Coturnix japonica: one gene and its partners. The protein of the gene in region 3 purifies or fractionates together with the protein of the main gene of each other region. This does not show direct contact. Links are inferred from orthologs where the notes say so. Each region holds a gene or a part of one and is shown on either strand. Other genes may lie near its edges. The genes, in order: SKI, RUNX2 and SMAD1.

What was found.
Region 1: the proteins of SMAD1 (region 3) and SKI purify together in Homo sapiens (affinity purification with western blotting, with the first as the bait; 3 studies listed by BioGRID). This does not show direct contact. The link is inferred for Coturnix japonica from reciprocal best matches to the Homo sapiens genes SMAD1 and SKI.
Region 2: the proteins of SMAD1 (region 3) and RUNX2 purify together in Homo sapiens (affinity purification with western blotting; 3 studies listed by BioGRID). This does not show direct contact. The link is inferred for Coturnix japonica from reciprocal best matches to the Homo sapiens genes SMAD1 and RUNX2.

What each region holds. Positions count from the first base shown.
Region 1 is NC_029536.1:1,499,145-1,505,684, reverse strand, and holds the start of SKI (ski oncogene), read left to right. Parts: upstream 1-2,855; 5' UTR 2,856-3,917; exon of another isoform or gene 3,918-4,022; 5' UTR 4,023-4,032; coding exon 4,033-4,944; intron 4,945-6,540. UniProt on the Homo sapiens protein: May play a role in terminal differentiation of skeletal muscle cells but not in the determination of cells to the myogenic lineage. Functions as a repressor of TGF-beta signaling.
Region 2 is NC_029518.1:99,720,384-99,726,876, forward strand, and holds the start of RUNX2 (runt-related transcription factor 2), read left to right. Parts: upstream 1-2,736; 5' UTR 2,737-2,767; coding exon 2,768-3,067; intron 3,068-6,493. UniProt on the Homo sapiens protein: Transcription factor involved in osteoblastic differentiation and skeletal morphogenesis. Essential for the maturation of osteoblasts and both intramembranous and endochondral ossification.
Region 3 is NC_029519.1:27,357,256-27,362,998, forward strand, and holds part of SMAD1 (mothers against decapentaplegic homolog 1), read left to right. Parts: intron 1-1,821; 5' UTR 1,822-2,046; coding exon 2,047-2,446; intron 2,447-5,743. UniProt on the Homo sapiens protein: Transcriptional modulator that plays a role in various cellular processes, including embryonic development, cell differentiation, and tissue homeostasis.

The DNA of each region.
Region 1 (6,540 bases), on a different chromosome or scaffold from region 3:
AGATATTAAACCAGTCTGTTTTGCAGAGAGAAGTGAGACCCTGGAGAGGAGCAGCATTCTGCATGCAGGTCATGGATGTTAAAAGGGAGAAAGGTATGTTCTTTTGTTTTCTTGACTTTGTTCCAAGCATAAACGTTCCTAACCTTGGGTTACAAAGGGAGACAAAACACCTGTCTTCCTCAATGTAGTGGCCACTGCTTACATGTCTACCTATAAACCACCTCCCCATATACAGTCTCATAATTACTAATTATACTTTTCCTACACCTGGACTGGATCTTGCCACTACTTGGCTCACAGTAACCTTATGTATGGGGATTGTCTGGACACAGCTTGAAGCAGTGATTAGCACCAGGTGAAAAGGTGTGGCTAAGCCAGGGCACACAGGTGCAAGCAACGAACTCTGGGTCCACCCCTCCTCACTCTCATTTAGGGGTTAGCAGCTGAGGGAGTAGAGTCTTTGTCTAGAGGTTGCCCCTTCTGGAGACTCTGCTGACCTTCACAAAAGGTAAGTCACTTGTTTGTGCATTATTTAAACCATGTTCTGATGAATACCTTAATGAATGTGTTTGTATCTTGGTAGAAAGTAATGTCATTGTCTTCCCTTGCAATATATGTTATAAATAAGCCATCAGAACGTTAGTCAAATTGAGAGGATTTTGTTGTGCAGCAATCCAAGGTTTACCTAGAAAATGGTGGGACCCAGCTGCACAGGAATGGTCTTACTTCAGTAGCTGTGTGTCGTAGTTAGAAATAAGTATGTACCATCCAAACATGGGGAGATGTTATAACAGATACTTGCTGTTATGAGTTTACCATCTAATGTAAGACTGTAGGAATTTCGGTGCGTCACATTTGCATGGATGCTTTCATTTTTTACTTTCTTTTCTTCTTTCCAATTGACTCTTCCCAAACATTTTGTCAACAGTTGCAATTTGCAATGTGGTTCTCTATATTCCTTGGGTTTTCCTGACTGAGCTTTTCACGTGAGCGTGTAAAAAATACACATAACCGTGCTGCAGTGTACTCTGACAACACGTAGAGGGTGGGACAAGATACTTGTGAGAGGCACTGAGTTCTTCAAAATGAAGGCAATGAGGAGGTGTGGGGGGAAATGAACTGCCTGTTAAATATGGAAAATGGAATCTGCTTTTTGTTCTGGGCCTTTGGAATCTGTGGGTGGATTGGAACTGGCAGGCAGGGAGCAAACACCCACCCACCACAGGGCTGTGTGGTTCAGAAGTTTACAAGAGTGTTTGTGTTCCAGGAGCTGTTGGCCTTGAAGCCAATGGAGAGGGGGAGGAGAAGAGGGAGAGAGTGAGAAAAACAGTGTGGTGCTGGGGCCCTTCCTCCGAGATATTTTTTCCCTTCTCCTTTCTTCAGCTAGAGGGCTTTGGAACTGAAGCAAGACAAACAGTTACTGGGGAAGAGATTAATAGGATCTTAAGATGCTCAGCATTCACAGTCCATCATTGGGGTGGCAGAGGCTTCAGAAAGTGTTGCCACCTTAATCCCTGGTGCTCCTTGCTCCCCCTTCTGCCCCGCTGTTGTGTAGTTCTGTGCAGTCTGTAGGTACAGGGAAATACAAGCTGGGTTGCAAACTGGTTTCTGTCACATCATGAAGTTCATTTCAGAAGCTGCTCTTCTAATCAGTTCCTATCTGAGTACAGCAGACATAGAAACTGAGGCACGCAGGAACTGAACGACTTGCCCAAGGCTACAGGAAATCTGTGGGAGATCTGGGAATGGACCCCAGATGTCCTGAGTTTAGTCTTAACCACCAGACCATCCTTCCTGTCTTTTTGGTAGTCCCCTCTGCTTCAGGAATTCCATTGATGGATCACACTCATGAGTTAATCACTCATCTGTTGCCCAATCCAGTAATTTACTTACATTAAAGAGTCATTTGGAAGGAAAAAAACACAACAACCAAACACCTAAAACGAGCTGTGGTTATTGCTGTCCTTTATTCCCAAAGAGTAAAGGAAAAGGAGTGCAAAAAAAACCCAGCATCCAGAACTAAGAGGCTTTTCCATTACTAAGCAGACTTCCAGCAAACGACAATTTTGCTCTTAACAAAATTGGATTATCTATACTTGATGTTTGAGTCTGTCTGCGTGTTTATATTTCAGAGAGTTTAAAACATCAAAAAAAAAAAGCATGAAGCAGAATTAAATCCATCTAAGGCAGGAATCTGGTGCTGTAGTGAACTCTTCTTTTGCTGGCAGCCTGTTTGGATGCCACATCCCTAATGGGCTCAGGGGGATCTGCTGTTGTGTGCAAACAGCAGCATGGAGTTCTCTGGACTTGGGGTGTGAGGACACAGCTGGTGCATGAGTGGTGCCTCCAAGTGCTGCTCTGTGCTGAGCTGTGAGGCCTTTTTCCCTTTGACTGCTCGAACTTCAGAGCACAGAAACACAAACAGCGTCTGAACTCGGTGCGATCCCTGCCCGCATCGATCCTGGCTGAACCTCAGCCTGTTTGGTTTGGTGAGGGTTTGTTTGCTCTTGGAGCTGTTTGGATTTGCTTCACTTTTTTATTGTACTGTGGTTTATCTTCGTTTATACCATAGTGGTGAACTTCCAGAAGAGACCAAATGTCTCTGCATCACAAGGCACTATGAGCAGCGCATCAAGTCTCTCTTGCATCATTAATATCTTAGTTGTGTGTATGCAGAGCTTTCCAGCGTCTTCTTTTTGCGTTAGACTCGCTGATAAAGCTCTGAGCTGTGGGGCTCGTGTTTTGTATCTGTATTTTCCGAACTCTCCAGCCGTTCCGAAGGGCAGACAGGCGGGTGGGGAGCTGCCACCAGGGGGTGCCGTTCCCTGCACGGAGCCGCAGGTTCGGCCCGTCCACGTTCCTCCGGGCGCCGCCATTTGATGCAGCGGCTGCATCACCCGGAGCTGCATCACCCGCAGCTCCGCTTGCTCGGGGTCCCGGCTGTCGGTCCCCGTTGGGCTGCAGTTATTCCGTGTGTGCTCCACACCAGGTGCTCGCAGGTTTAGCAGCGGTTCGGTTCAGGTGTTGGGTACACGAGGTGCTGTTTGTTCCCTTATTTCTTTCACTGTCGTCCAGAAATAAAACGCCGAGCCCCCACCAGCCCTGCCGCCCCTCCTTCGCGACGCTCCGCTCTATGAACCCAGCCTCTCTCCCTCCCCCCGGGGCTGAACGAGCTGCGCCTGCCCGAGCAGGAGGGGGGAGGCGGCCGATGTTCCTGGAAGAGCCCGGCCTGGGGAGTTGGTCACATTCTTGGCCGGGATTCAATGACTGAGGCAGACACCAACAAACAGAGTCGGGGGGGAGGAGGAGGAGGAGTGAGGGAGGCTGAGCCAGCCCGCATTAGCTCAGCTCTCAGGCACTCTCAGTCTCTGCTGGAAAGAGGAGCTGGGAGGATGTTAGCGCGGCTCCCCACGGCACGTTGAGAGCGAGAGGAAGAAAAGAAAGGAAGAAAGAAAAGGGGAGCGAGGCGTCGGGGAGCCGGATCGAGCGAACGGAGCGCTCGGGGCAGGCAGCCCGCAGCGCCGCTTCGGAAGTGTCGGAGATCGGGGCCTTTAATTCTATTCCGCCTCGCTCCCTTCCCCGCACCGAGCCGCCTTCCTCCTCCTGCTTTTTACTTTCCTTCCTCCTGGTGGATATGGACACAAGCGGGATCGCTGCAGAGAAGCAGCAGCCAACAGCTCTTATTTAACCCGAGGTGCCCGGAGCGCGGCTCGGAGCGGCGTTCCGGGGCTGGCAGTGCTCGGATGAAGACCTGGCTTCGGTTTGACTCTGCGCTCCGGCCGGGCCGGGCACGGTGAGAGATTGTGACGGAGCGAGAGAACAGAAAGGAGAAAGAAACGCCAACGAAAAGGATTTATTTCCTCGCCGACTGTGGATTGTTAAACCGGAGTGGGAAGGGGGAAAAAAAACCAACAAGGGTGGGTTGTTGTTTTGTTTAAAGAAAAGAAAAAAATCCCTTAAGTGGATTTGTACCAGCGTGGAAGATAATTGGGGATTTTTTTGTTGTTTGTTTTTGGGAATAGAAACTAAAAAATGGAGACTGTAAGTAGAAGCAGCTTCCAGCCTCATCCAGGACTGCAGAAGACCTTGGAACAGTTTCATCTGAGCTCTATGAGCTCCCTGGGTGGCCCTGCTGCTTTCTCAGCGCGATGGGCACAGGAGATGTACAAGAAAGACAATGGCAAAGACCCCGCGGAACCTGTACTGCATCTGCCCCCCATCCAGCCCCCCCCGGTGATGCCTGGTCCCTTCTTCATGCCCTCGGACAGATCCACTGAGAGGTGCGAGACCATCCTGGAAGGGGAAACCATCTCCTGCTTCGTGGTGGGTGGGGAAAAGCGCCTTTGCTTGCCCCAGATCCTGAACTCGGTGCTCAGGGACTTCTCCCTGCAGCAGATCAACTCGGTGTGCGACGAGCTCCACATTTACTGCTCCAGGTGCACCGCTGACCAGCTGGAGATCCTCAAAGTCATGGGCATCTTGCCCTTCTCTGCCCCCTCGTGCGGGCTGATCACTAAAACTGACGCTGAGAGGCTTTGCAACGCCTTGCTTTATGGTGGCACCTATCCTCCCCACTGCAAGAAGGAATTCTCTAGCACGATTGAGCTGGAGCTTACAGAGAAGAGCTTCAAGGTGTACCATGAGTGCTTTGGGAAGTGTAAGGGACTCCTGGTACCAGAGCTTTACAGTAACCCCAGCGCAGCCTGCATCCAGTGCTTGGACTGCAGGCTCATGTACCCGCCTCACAAATTTGTGGTCCACTCTCACAAATCCCTGGAAAACAGGACTTGCCATTGGGGCTTTGACTCTGCAAACTGGAGGTCCTACATCCTCCTCAGCCAGGATTACACTGGGAAAGAGGAGAAAGCTCGGCTGGGCCAGCTCTTAGATGAAATGAAAGAAAAATTTGACTATAACAACAAATACAAGAGGAAAGCCCCCAGGGTAAGTGATGCCTTAAATTCTTATTTTAAGAAGGAGCCAGGGTGAAGAAAGAGAGAAAAGGGATTTTCGATGACGTCCATAGATGTACTCAATTTGTTACCAACCGTTTTCCTTTTAGAGTCGTTTAGCAATCTAATCGCGTTCTTAATTCTCACCACGTGTGCGTTCATGTAGACGAGCAGCGTTCGACATGGCTCCTTTTTTTTCCCCTTTTTCCTCTGGTTTTGTGCTGAGCTCGGGAGCTGGAGTTTGATTCTGCTGTATGTGTTTGTGTATCGTATTGTACACAGAACCTGATCTTTGAAACCCATCACGCTGCCCCACTTGAGCAGGAAGTGATTTGGGGCGCCGGGAGCTTCGCTTGGAGGTCAAGATGGGAAAGAAAGGAGGGGAAAATAACTCTGATGGCCCCAGACACGAATGCAGACGATTTTCTCCTCAACTGCGTGCCCCCAGGGATGGAGGCAGGGGCTGAGCTGGAATAAAACGTGGCCGCTGAGAATGTAATGCAGGTTACTGGTGTTCATTGGAGTGCAGAACGGGAGCGAGCTCTGTGCTTTTAGGGGATCCCAGCGGAGTCTGGCTCTCCCCAGCAAGACAGGCTTTTGTATATCGGATTATGTGTACGTAAATGGATCTGAAGGGCCAGATGCAGCAGCTCGTTGCGTTGTGCCCTGCTGTCCTGAGGCCAGACAGCGTTTTTCAGGTGCCCTGTGTTTTCCTTGCAGCCTGGGCTGCCTGCAGACCCCACCATTCCCTCTGTGTGGGCGAAGGGGCCGTGGGTGGGCACCGGGGGGGGAGGGGAAGGGGGGAGGCAGCTTCTGCCCCTTCTCAGCCCCCCCCCACGAGGAAGGTAAAATCAAAGCAGAGCAGCCTGGCCTGCAGGTTTGGGGGCAGATTCTGCCTCCTCCATCACAGTTCTTGGAAGTTTTCTTCGGTTTTATGTCCGCAGTGGAGGGGCAATCACAAAAGAACAGGAACTTTTCAAGCTTTCTGAGAGCGTTAGGTGAAATTCTCGGTTAACTTCCCAAATACCTGTTTAAACGTGCAGATAAACGCTCAGGCTGCATATGGCTTAAGTTAAAAAGCAAAAAGCAAAGCGAGGAGGTGTTCAGCCCCCCCTAGCCCCCATTTCGGTCCTCGTCCTCACCCCCCCCCCCCCTTTCCTCCTGTCGGAGTGTCAGAGCCGCTGTGACAAAGCGGGGTTGTAATGAGCCCCATTATCTCCGTGGCTGGAGGTGGATGTGTTTTTAATGGCTTGTCTATTCTCCGTCAGTCATGTGCTAAGGGGATGCTGGGGAAGATGCGCATGAATGTCTGCGAGAGGAGAAAAGGGCTCCGGCAGCGGAGACGGGCTGAATTTCCTTGGGCGTGCTCTGGGAAACTAAAGAAAAGAATCCCCACTTTCTTCCTTCTGGGAGGGGGTTGTGTGCCTGGGTTGGTCATTTCCACAGTGTGATTTAAATGAACGCTTTTAAAGGTCCGCATTCCTTTTCTTACCGGGCTCTTACGGCGCTGCTCTGCTGTGCCCCCAGGTGAGGGGGCAGGTGGAGAACAAGACAGGACTGCAAAGTTTTGGCTTTGCTTTACTCGTTT
Region 2 (6,493 bases), on a different chromosome or scaffold from region 3:
CGCGCGCACCGCCCCGCTCTGCACATCCCTGTGCTCGGCCGGGGACGGGGAGCGAACTGGGCTCGAGCTAGTGCGGCGCGTCGCGGTTTTCTTCCAGTATTGACACTGTTTGGGAGGGACCCGGGGTTGGGTGGTTGTTCTATTCATTCCAACCCCCCCTCCCGAAAGACCATCTCCCATAATGGACTTTGAAAAGCTCTGCTGTTTTGGCGCCGGAGTATGTATCTAGTATGACCGGTTCTTTCTTGTGTGCCCACTGGTTAGTCGTGCTGAGACTCCGCGAGTCTTAAAGGTCGATGCATAAGCATTTGGAACTGTGAAAATGCAAAAGCATGGCTGGATAGAGCGAAACGCTATATCTTCCGCCAACCCCACCCCCACCCCTTTATCTTTTTCTCTATAGCTGGTAAACGCAGCGCAGCGGGTTTGTTTTCTCCCTTAAAAAAAATTCAAAATTAAAAAAAATTTAAAAAAAATTAAAAAAAGCTGGCAGATCTTATTTAAAAAAATTTTACATACATTGGTAATGCAAAAGTGTCGCGCCCCCCGAGCACCACAAGCGACCTATGCACCCACGCCGCCATCTTGTTCGGCATCTTACCCCTAGCGTCGCTAAATATGCCTGACCCGCACCGCGGCCCGGGGCTGCAGCGCCAGGTTCCCTGCTCTCTGCTGTGTGGCCTTTCCTACCCCCCCCCTGCCTTGCAGCCTCGCTGGTTTCGCCAGCCCGGTGTGTTTCTCTTGCTGCGGTCGCGTCCGGTTGGCAGGGTGGGTGTTTGGTGGTTGTCCGGTCCGGGGGAAAGAGGGCTGTGTGAAGGGCGGGCGGGCCCGGGAATTGGTGGTGGGCGCGTGGAGCAGGAGGAGGTTGGCCTGCACTGAGATTATATGAGCTACTTTGTGTTAAGATGGGGCTGGCCGGATGAGGTCGGTCTGTGTGCCTGGGGCGGCGACACTTTGTTTACATGGGTATGTAAAATTGTTTTAAATAAGATTTCTGCCCTTTTTGATTTTTAATTTTATTTTTTTTTAAAGGGAGAAAACAAACCCGCCTGCCTTTACCTTAACGGGGGGGGTGGGGGGGGGGGGGGATGCTGCATAGATGTTTTCATTCATTCAAGAAATTAGATCTTTAGTATACCGGAGTTCTTAGCACAACCTTGGCCACCTGACTCTCTCTCTTGAATATATGGCAAAACAGACTTTTTCTTTTCTTTTACAAATCAATCAACCAAACAAACCAACCCCAAAGTGTTAATGGAAAAAACCCGGAGCGGCAAACTTGACGCGCATCGCCCCCCCCCCCCCCCCCCTCTTGACCCCCCCTCCTTTCCTCGGCCCGGCCCCCTCCCCGCGGCTGCGGGCGGCTCCAGGCGAGGGCTCTCCTCCTTGGGGGGGGGGGGTTGGAGCGGGGTGGGTTGTGGGGGGGGATGCACATTGTTGTATTTATTTTGAAGGCTGCAGAAGGCTGAGGAGCGCAGCACCACGTGCTGCTGACTCTCATCAGCATAATGATGGCCCCAGCCGGAGAGCCCCGTATATATAAACCACAAACCCCCTAATCATTAGAAGTCCCAGCCTCCAAAAGAAAAAAAAAAACCGCATTCAGGACAAAAAAAAAGACTGCGGAGTTTTTTTTTTCTTCTTGTTTTTCTTTTTTTTTTCTTTTCCTGCGTGTTGTTTTTTCTCCCCCCTCTCGGCTCCTCCGCCTCCCCGCACGCAGCTCTTCGGCACCCGAAAGAACTTTTGTTGCTTTTCGCCTTTTATTTTTTTAATATATTCTTTATCGTTCTCGACCGACGCGATTTTTCGGAGAGCGGAGCGTAACTCCCGCAAAGCGACACCTGAATGACTGCTGAGACAGTGACTTTTTTTTTGCCTGCTGCTGTTCATCGAGAAAAGGGGGGAAAAAAAAAACCAAACAACCGCCCCCCTAAAAATTAACCCCACCAAACCAAACGAGCGATTCCAGTTACCCGGTTCGGCTCCCCGGACTCGGATCCAGCAGCGACTCAATTAACCGGACCGGACCGCACCGAAGCTGCCTTTCCCCACCGTTTCCTCGGGCATAGTTTCGGAATCAGCCCGCACAGGGCTGCTCCGGGGGGGGGGGGTTCTTCTCTTTTTTGCCCCCTCCCGACGATGCTGCCGTTTGGAAGCCGGGCGCCGGACTCGCCCTGAGCCCCGATCTTCGTCCCGGGCCGCTCCCGGCGCTCAGCCCCGCACCGCTCCTCGCACCGCAGCCCCGGCACGGCGCTAAGGCTTCGCTCCCTTTTTCTTCGCCGTTTGTTTGGCCGGAGGAGGAGGAAGAATTCTTCGGAGGAAACCGGGACGTTTCCCCTTCGCTCATTGCGAGTGACGCTCCTCTTGAAGCGGCGAGCACAGCCGGCTGCCTTCGCCCCCTCTTCAAGCCCGAAAAGCGGACGGGAAGGGAGAGGAAGGAAAAAGGAGAGAAAGTCGCGCGGCGCTGAGAGCAGGAGCGGCGGCTGGAAGCGGGGAAGGACGGACGGACGGACGGAGGAGAAGCGGCTCCGGGCAGGGACGCGCTGCGGGACGGAGCCGCAGCGCCGGGCGTAGCTGAGGGCAGCGCAGCCCCGAGCGAACGAACGACAACAGACTGAGATCTGGGGCTTTTTTTTTAATTCTTTTTGTGCCGTTGTGTTGTTTTTTTTTTCCTTGCTTTTTTCTTTTTTTTTTTTTCCCCCCGATTTTTTTCCCCCCCCCCTCCCCGCCCCCCCGCCCCCCAATTCGCTAACTTGTGGCTGTTGTGATGCGTATCCCCGTAGATCCCAGCACCAGCCGGCGCTTCACCCCCCCCTCCAGCAGCCTGCAGCCCGGCAAGATGAGCGAGGTCAGCCCGGTCGTAGTGGCCCAACAGCAGCAGCAGCAGCAACAGCAACAGCAGCAAGAAGCCGCCGTGCCCCGGCTGCGGCCGCACGATAACCGCACCATGGTGGAGATCATCGCGGACCACCCCGGGGAGCTGGTGCGCACCGACAGCCCCAACTTCCTGTGCTCCGTGCTGCCCTCCCACTGGCGCTGCAACAAGACGCTGCCCGTCGCCTTCAAGGTGAGCGCTTCTCCCCCCCGCGCTGACAGCGGCCGCTCGCCCCCCCTTCCCCATCACCTCCGCCCGCAGGCGTTGCGGTGTTCGCCCCCACCAGCCCGCAATGCCCGCCGTGCCCCCCCCCCCCCGGTAGTGCCTCCCGCGATGACTTCTGAGCCCCTCTCATCCCATCGTTCCTTGTGCCCCCACCCCCCCTCCATTCCTCTGTGCTGCCCCCTCCCCGCCCCAATCCTCTTGATGCCTCCCGCCCCCTCCGCCCGCCTCACTGAGCTCTGAGCCCATACACTGACTTTCTGTGCACCCGCGCACTGACTTCTGTGCCCCCCCCACTTACCCCCCCGCCCTCCGCCAATGATCTCCGTGTTTCCCACCCTCCCCGTGCTGCAGTAACTGTTCGTGTGCCCCCCTCTCGTTTTGCACGGACTTCTGTTGCAGACCTCATCCTGCACTGACTTCTGTGACCCCCAGTCCTACAAAGTTTCCTGTGCACCCCGGGCTTTCTTTGACTTCTGTGTCTCTCCCCCTTTCAGCCCCCTCCCGCCCCCCCATCCTGCACCGTGCATCCCCTCATCCTGCAATGAGTTCTGTGCCCCCTCTGTCCTACACTGACTTCTGTGCCCCCCCATTCCGCAACAGCTCCTATGCGTGTGCCCATTCCTGCCTTGAGTCTTTTGCTTCTCCATCCTACAGCGACTTCTTGTGCCCCTACAGTGCCTCCTGTGCCCCCATCCCGTGCTGCATTGCCTCCTGTGCCCCCCATCTGCACTGATTTCTGTGTCCCTTCTGCACAGTGTGTGTGTCCCAAGGCTCCGTAGGGTCTTCCGTGCCACCCTCGGTGCTCCAGTTCCTCCTGCCCCCCCCCCCCCCGTCCTGGCGTTGCCTCACATACCCCCATCCTTCTGTCTGCCATGCCCCCGCATCCCACTGTGCATCCTGAGCCCTCTCTGCCCTGCAGTGCTCCCTGTTTCCTCTCTGTCCCATAGAACATCCTTACCCCCTCTCTGCAGACCCTCTCATGCCCTCCCATCCTGCAGGGCACGCTGTGCCCCCCCCGTGCTGCAGTGTGTGCTGTGCCACCGAACCCTCCCAACCTCTGGGATCAGTCATGTTATTTCTATTCCCTTAAAGCATTGCCCCCCTCTGGGCTCCCCCCGTCCCTGTGCCACCACCACAGCACCCCACTGAGCCTCTTAGCAGCTTTCCTTTAAAAAAAGAAGTTTTCTTATAACGAGATTCATCCATCTGCAAGAGCTCAGTGCAGGGATGCAGAACGGGTGCTGCCTCCAAACCTTCCCTGAGGGGCACCCCCAAAATCCCAGCCTCGTGTCCCAGCTCCTGGAGCTGGGGAGGGGGCGCACATGGGTTTAGTGCAGGGATTGGGGTCCTGATGGGGGAACCCACTCACTTCTCCTGGCCTCCACGGAGTGGTTGGGGGGGGTGTTAAGATTCTCATTTTCTGCCTCCATCCCCGCGCACGCTGATGAGAGGAAAACGTTTATTAAAAGCTGCAGTAGCAGCCCCGGCTGTGTGCTGTGTTCTGCAGCCCTCCGTCCTCCCCACAGCCCTGCACGGCTGCACTGAGCCCCCCAACCATGTCCTAAGGCCGGCAGCACTTGCCTGCAGTGGCTCACGGGCACAGCCTGGGAGCAGCCCTGCACCCCAGTGCTGCCAGAACGACCCCTTGGGTTGTGTTTTCTGCATGCCAGCCACGCTATCTTTGTTTTGTCGGGGAAATAAAATGGGTCAAAACAGCTGAAAGAGCTGGTTTTGGTGTGTCTGGCCATAAAGGCGGTGTGCTGCTGGCACTTTGCTATCAGAGGGAGTAGAGATGAAGGCAGAGGGGCAGAGACCTGCTGGGTCTGTAGCTGCAGTTACCCTGCATAGGGCCTGCCTTGTGCTTGGGTGGAAATAGCAGAAAGTGGGGTGTGTTCTGCCACTGGGTCTGCGGGTGCTGTGGGGCCTATGGGGTGCCACCAGGTTACAGGGTGCCACTAGGTTATGGGGTGCCTCCAGTCTGTGAGGCTCAGGTCAGAGCTTGGCTCTGATTCCTGGCGTGAGGAGTTGTCTCCCAGGATCGCAGTTGTGATTAATTTGCTTGTAGGTGAGCTCAGTGTTGTAGTTCCTTCCTATAGAAGTAACGTGAGGGCTCTGTGTTATTGCTTCTGTATTTCTGCTTCCGTTTGAAAAGGCTGAGCGTGCCCCTGCCCTGCAGCCACCCAGAGCGTGCGGTCCCAGCTCACTGCAGGGAGGCAGTGGGGCTCAGCTGAGTGGTATTTAGGATGTTATTCCAGTACATGTGATAAAAGGACTTACAAAGAGCGAGAGCAAAGAGCGAGAGCGCATCCCAGCGTGTTTGTGCTCATAGGTTCTGATATTTGGGTGGTGTGTGGGGCTGCAGGCAGGTGTGGATGCGGGAGGTTTATCGATGTGCTGAGTTGTCCCTTCAGCTCTGAGCTGTCACACGCAGCATATAAGATGCTCTTAAAACACGCCGTGTCTGGATGCCCTTGTTTCCTGGTGGAGGCTGACAGGGCCACACTGTGTGCAGCCAAGGCAGAAGGTGTGAGCAAGGAGCAGAAGTACCATACAGCAACAGGCGCTGATAAGACTTTCTGCATAGCAAAATGATGGTTGGGACCCATCGGACAGGTTTTAAACTTGAATCTCATTTATCAGTGCAGCTTTCCTGCAGCTGCCCGCTGCTTTCAGACCGAAGAAGCTGCAGTGAAACACTTGATGCGATACAGCAGAATGGCAATTATCTCTAAAACACTGCAAAAAAGAGACAGATTTGGGCTATAGGAATCTCAGCGAGGCAGAAACTTGAAAGTAAAATGGCTCACAGACAACAGAGTTTTTGAAGTTTTATTGGCAATAAATAATATGTTGATGATAATGTTTTGAGTGGTGCGTTAAGTGTGCCATAATTCTCTCGCAGAGCTCTCCAGTTAAAAAGTGCTCTGGATGTAGCACTGTTTTAATTTAAAAGAGAAAGAAGTTAGATATAAATCACACGCGGGGAAGGAAGTGTGCAATAAACAGCGCTGGGTTTGATTATCATTTTGTGAAATAACGTTGGCTGAGCGTCACGTTTGAATTTTCAGTATTAATATTTACACGCTGCGGGGAGAGAGTCTGCGTGGGGCTCACGGACCAGGTGGTGAGGTTGGCTGTGCAAACTGTGCCTGCTGGTGCTGCTCTGACCACGCTGCAGTGCCCGGGCAGCAGAGCAATGGGCACTGTGCTCCGTGCACCCAATTCTGTTCCCTTTGTGATGTGTAAGAGCCTTTTGTTGGCTGCAGCCATCGGGATTTGGCTCTCTGTTGACTCTGGGAGTTCTATCTGAAAGGCCATGAAGACCCACCCTGCTGGGTGTTGGGGTGGCTGTAAGGTTGCAGTGCCTTATTGGGGTGGCTGTAAGGATGCAGT
Region 3 (5,743 bases):
ATTTGCCCCAGGCTTATGCATTTCTCCCATTGCACTGACATTATTATTTCAAGTAGAAGTCTCAGAATAAATGAATGGAAAGTACCAGGATGAAGCGCAGGTGGATGCAGTCTTTGTCTTAGTTTAAGATCATTATTCACATAAATGTAGTTTATACATTTGACCTAATAAAATGGAACCTTTGCAATTAGATAATTATTTTAGTGACAACTTATTTGAATCAAGTGGATGGTTTTCAGCTTGAAGTACTCTAAGTGTAGAGGTACGCAATGAAATTACAGTTATGACAGTTAGGAGCATAAGTGTGGCTTAGCAATTAAAATTTCAAGATCCATAATTATTTTTGATTATAAACTTGCAATTCAGGCTCATGGCTGCTCTGATACCTTCTAACCTGTCTGTGTATGGGCAGCGTATGGATTTTTTGTGGTGGGTTGTTCTGTGTTTTTTGTTTGTTTGTTTGTTTTGTTTTGTTTTTTGGTGTTTCTGATGGTAACAAAAACATTTCTATCCTTTTCCTCTTCCCTCTTCCTCTGCAACCTCTCGGTATCTGCTCTGGGATACATTTCCTGTCTGTCTTCATACTTAATTTGAATGCTTCTGTTTTAGTGCTCCTTATCTCCTTGTTCCTTGTGGCAGAGGTGAGTCTCTTGTTTGCTCATAACCTGAGTAAACGTGAAGCCCGCTGCTTGCAGAAGACCCTGTAATGGGGATTTCTCTGCATGCAGAGTTCTACTCCTCCCTTCACCCATTGCTTCATTGCTGTTTCACACCTCCCAACCTGAAGATCACAGTACTACCTCAAACCCTCTTATCAGTTCTTCCTCCTTCCTGCTCCTTCATGTGTCTTTGAGCACATCAGGCTGGCACTGTGAAGGGAGGGGTCAGGATGTAGTCAGTGATGTCTTTCCCTTTCATTCTGTTTAGGTGAGGGCTTTTTAGTGGGTTAGGAAGACAGAGCTTTGCTTTCTCGTGGGGAGCTGAATGAGGGCACAGATCTTTCTAGTTTCCTGTTCTGCTTTTGGTTTGTCACTCAGACTAACTCAGGTGAAGCTGAACAGTTTGTCACAGATTGTGATATGCGCAGATCCCATGCAGTTATTCTCAAATCGTATTGCTTGTAGAGATCTGGGTAGTGCAGTGCTGTTGAGGTATGTTGCTTCCACCTTCACTTGGAAATCAAAACCAAAAGTTTTGGTTTGATTTCATCCTGTATGAGTTTATTGGGACGTTTTGCTGTGTGAAGTTGCCAAGCTGATAGGCTGTGGGGAGTGTACTTTTCACTTAGCGGTGAAAGATAAAAAATGGGGGGCTGTTTTAGGCTACACTTGGGCTGTGAGCAGGAACATTATTTGAAGTTGGCAAATGCAGTTGCCCTTGCTACATGGCACAAAAATCACTGAGGCTATATCGCGTATTGGATGCGGGCGGGAACTGAGCAGAGGGATAGTTGTCCTACCTTCTAAGTTTCCCTACCTTTGCACTTCCTTCCTGCTTCTCTCTAACTCCCTTCAACCATTTTGTTCTGTTTTGTTTATGCAGTGCCACTGTTTTTCAGGGCAATCCCCTCATTTATTTAGGACTGTTTTGGTAGCAAGAGTATAAAGACTTTACCAGCATGCTCTGCTATTTAAAGGTCCTTGTCAGGCTGTTCCTTCAGTCTGATGTTGAGACTGCTGACACTTTGTGGTGGCGGTTTTTTTGTTGTTGTTGATCGGTTGGGTTTTGGTCACCCTGGCCCTGTGGGGTGGAATGTTTCTGACTGCTGGTGGTTAATTGACAAAGTGAAATCTGTTTTCCTTTTTCGCTCTTCTCCTGCAGGTTCTCAGCCGGAAGGCTTTAGCAAGATGAGAAGGCCACATCTGTCAAGGGGAACTGTCAGCATGGCCGTCCTGGGACGGGAGGACTGAAATAGCAGAAGCACCACAATATTTGGGCAGACTGCTTTTGACTACTGATTAAAATCTGCAGTGCGGCTGCGGTGGAAGAACAGGACAGTCTCTCCTGCTTGGTCTGTGGTATCCAGTGTGACCAAGTGAGGTCACCATGAACGTGACAAGTTTGTTTTCCTTCACCAGCCCGGCAGTGAAGAGGCTGTTGGGGTGGAAGCAGGGGGATGAAGAAGAAAAATGGGCGGAGAAGGCTGTTGATGCACTAGTGAAAAAACTGAAGAAGAAAAAAGGTGCTATGGAAGAACTGGAGAAAGCATTAAGCTGTCCTGGTCAGCCCAGCAACTGTGTCACAATTCCTCGGTCCTTGGATGGCCGGCTTCAGGTTTCACACCGGAAAGGGCTGCCACATGTAATTTACTGCAGAGTGTGGCGCTGGCCAGACCTGCAAAGCCATCATGAACTGAAACCACTGGAATGCTGCGAGTTTCCTTTTGGTTCTAAACAGAAGGAGGTCTGCATCAATCCTTACCACTACAAGCGGGTAGAAAGTCCTGGTAGGTTCTTCCTTGTTTGTACCTTTGCGCCTTATCTAAACAATGCAAAGTGTGGCAGTTAATCATGTGACTCATCAGCTTAAGTAAGCAGTAGTCGCTGTTTGCACACGTCAGATTTGTACTTTGCAATCTGTCTGGATATAAGCATTGATTCGCAGTTCTCCCTTTCACAGGGTGAATACTTGCCATATATAAATGCATTTTGTCACTGTGCAGCAGCATACTGTCTGTGTGTGCCTTAAGTTGCTGGATCTCTTGCCTCCTGGTTTTGTTGGTGGCCACTATCCCTCAGTTCATTTTATTTTTTTATATTTTTACTGAACAGCGCAGTTTGAGCATGTATGAAATGTTGCAAGCTAACAGGAAGGGTAACTGCGTTTAGTGGGTGAAAAACTTTCTGATATGATCTTACTGTTATTATTTCACTTCTATCACTTCTTTTCCTTCACCCTTCAGAAGATACTACGGTCTTTAAGGTTGCCTTCAGCTTTGGCCTTTGAAGTCTGAGGTTTTGGTTGCTTTTTATTTTTTTTTTTCAGACACGGAATATACCCTCTCAACCTGGAGCTTTGATAGTGGGGTTTATTTTGTACATGATGTTTTACCTTTAGTTGTTCTGCAAGTGGAATGTGTTTACCCATTACCCACTTCCACGCTTTAACAAGTGCAGCCTGTTCTCTGTCTCCTCTTCAAGGGCCCAACCCGCTTTTAGTAAATCTGTGCTTGATTTGCTTGTGTGAGTTTGTTTTCAGAATATTTCCAGGGACTAAGATGAAATGTGCGTAAACATGTCTCCACTGGTCTCTAGTTACTTGTGAGGTTGTACAGGGACATCTGCAGAAAATGCACTGCAGGTGTGAGAGGGCTTTTCTGGTTTAAATTTAGGAAATCTGCCTGTGTTAGGCACTTTGTAAACTGCGGAGCTGTTTCTGCAGAGTGGCATGGATTGCTTAAGAACTGCAGTGGAAATGACGTTGTTACCTGATTATTTTCCTGTGAATGGAAATAGCATTTATCTTGGAATTGCAACACGTAGCGTATATCTAGATGGCAAATATTTCCCTTTGGTGTGTTAGTATTAGTTTGGAAATCGTGTGTGTGATATCCATAAAATATGGCTTTTATGCAGCAGATGCTTAAACAAAAAGCTTAAACACTGCACTGGAGGAAGAAAAAAAGAGGAGTTTTAACAAATGTTAAGGGTTGTGTGTTGAGCAGAAGTGGGACAATAAAATAAATAGTTTGTATTACTAGTTTTCTGCATGTGTCTGCACCTGGTGTGTATGTTCAGTGTTCCAAAGTACTGAAAACTAAGATTCCCAAAGCACATCTAGTTCGGTCAGAGTGAGCAGCAGTTGGGCTCTTGCTGTCATGGTAACACCAAGTGATGTGTTACAGCTCATTTCCCTTTCGTCTTGGAAGCAGTTACCAAGTCTGAGAACATTCTAATTCTTATCATTTATGCCATATTTAAGACTATATTTGTAAGTGTCCTGTCACTTCACTGAGATCTGCATGGTAAAAATAGAATAGAACTTTCAAAAGATGTCTAACTAAAATGTGCTGAGTACTGTTAGGTAGCCCAAGTGGTTGGAAAGTGGTTTTGGGCCCTGAGTCACCTTCTACATTTTGTAGTTGGGAACCAGCAAAATGTTATTTTTTGAATTTGGGATTCCTGCTGTTTTAGGGTAAAATACAAATTTCCAGAGTTTGTGTAGTTTGTGCTGGGGAGAAAACAAAGAGTGACTTAATCAGTTTGGAGATGGTAGCAATGAAATATTTCCCGCTGCTCAGCCAGTGCCCCTCAGGAAAAACTAAGTACTTCTGGTTATCACCTTAGTAAGCAACTGGGCAGTTTGCTTGTTTACATCAGGGCTGGAATGGCCTTGACAGAGCTGATGAAAGGATTTCATCCACCGGAAGATCGATGTGCTGCTCTGACCAGCTGAAATTTACTGGAGGGGAGTGTTGAGCAGGAGCTGCCTTCTGCCTAATGAGTCGTGGGGCTGCAGGTATAAAGTTGTGTGTATGTTGGGGTCTCATCTTAAGAACTTTTCCAAAGTTCCACAATGCCAGAGTGGGGTCAAAGCCTTAAGTTTTTACTGAGGTCTCTGGCTGGGTTTGTGAAGGAGGTTTTTCTACTTAATTAACGCTGTAGATCAATCATTGTTTTGAGGGATATTGCATGGAGATAAATTTGGAATACGTGGCTTTTGGGAGCAGGTGGTAACTGAGCTGCCATTTGGCCTAGAGATGTGCACTTCATAAGTTACAGTATCTCTTCCTTTCCCTTCCCTGTTGTTTGTCCCCAGAGTGTCACTCTCAGCTTCAGTTCCTGACAGTCGCTCTCAAACTTGGCTAACTGTTTTTCCCCATTTTTGCCTGGACATTAAAACACCATTATTGCTTCCTAAGTGCTTATGCTTTGAGATTAATGGATTGGGGGAATTCACACATGAGTCACTGTTTCCAAGCAGATATCGAGACTTGTGTTTCCAAGGTTATCACAGCCAGGAGGATTGGAATTATACTTGACTAAATGAAGCTAGAAGCTCGAGAGAGTGTGTGATGGTCACTGTGCAGGCTGTACAAGTATATTGTGATATCCTGGCTCTGCCTGCCAGCTTGGTCAGTGCTTAACTGCCTCAAACAGACCCAGCTCCTCAGGAGCTGCTCTGTAGGGCGCTGCCTGGGATGGGATCAGTGTGCTCTGTTCACTTTCCTGTTAGTTGTCACGTGGCTGGTGTTTGTGTAAGTTCTGAAGAGTGGATTAACGGTAAATCCTCAAATAGATAACATCATGTAGTGCTTTCAGTTGGGAAATTGGTCTCACAAATGCTTTTATGTTTTCACGGTGCTAGAAGGGGTGCATCCTTGCTATCCAGCTTAAAAACACAAGCTTGGAAATCATTGCAGTTGGTGTGCTTTAGTCTGTCTGCGGACTACAGTGTTACACCTGAATTCAAGTGAGGTTTTTCTCCATTAGCTAGGTTGGATAAAAACCAGTTGCAAGGAGTTGTGGGGAGGCTGAGGAGAGAACTGCCTGGAGTTTCAGAGCCTCCCAGGTGTCCCCAACCGCTGGTATCCAGTAAGAGACTTGGGTGTGATTTGGTGGTATGATGGTAACACCTAACCCGGTGCTGAGGCTCTGTGCAGGCATCAGCACCCATATGGTCACAAAAACTAACCAGACAGAAAATTGCTGTTTGGAGATGCCATTCACAAGCAGCTCCTACAGTGGGCTGTGCCAGTGCAGTTGTCTCAGTGGCCTTGTGCTGAAGCAGACTGGCAGTGCTT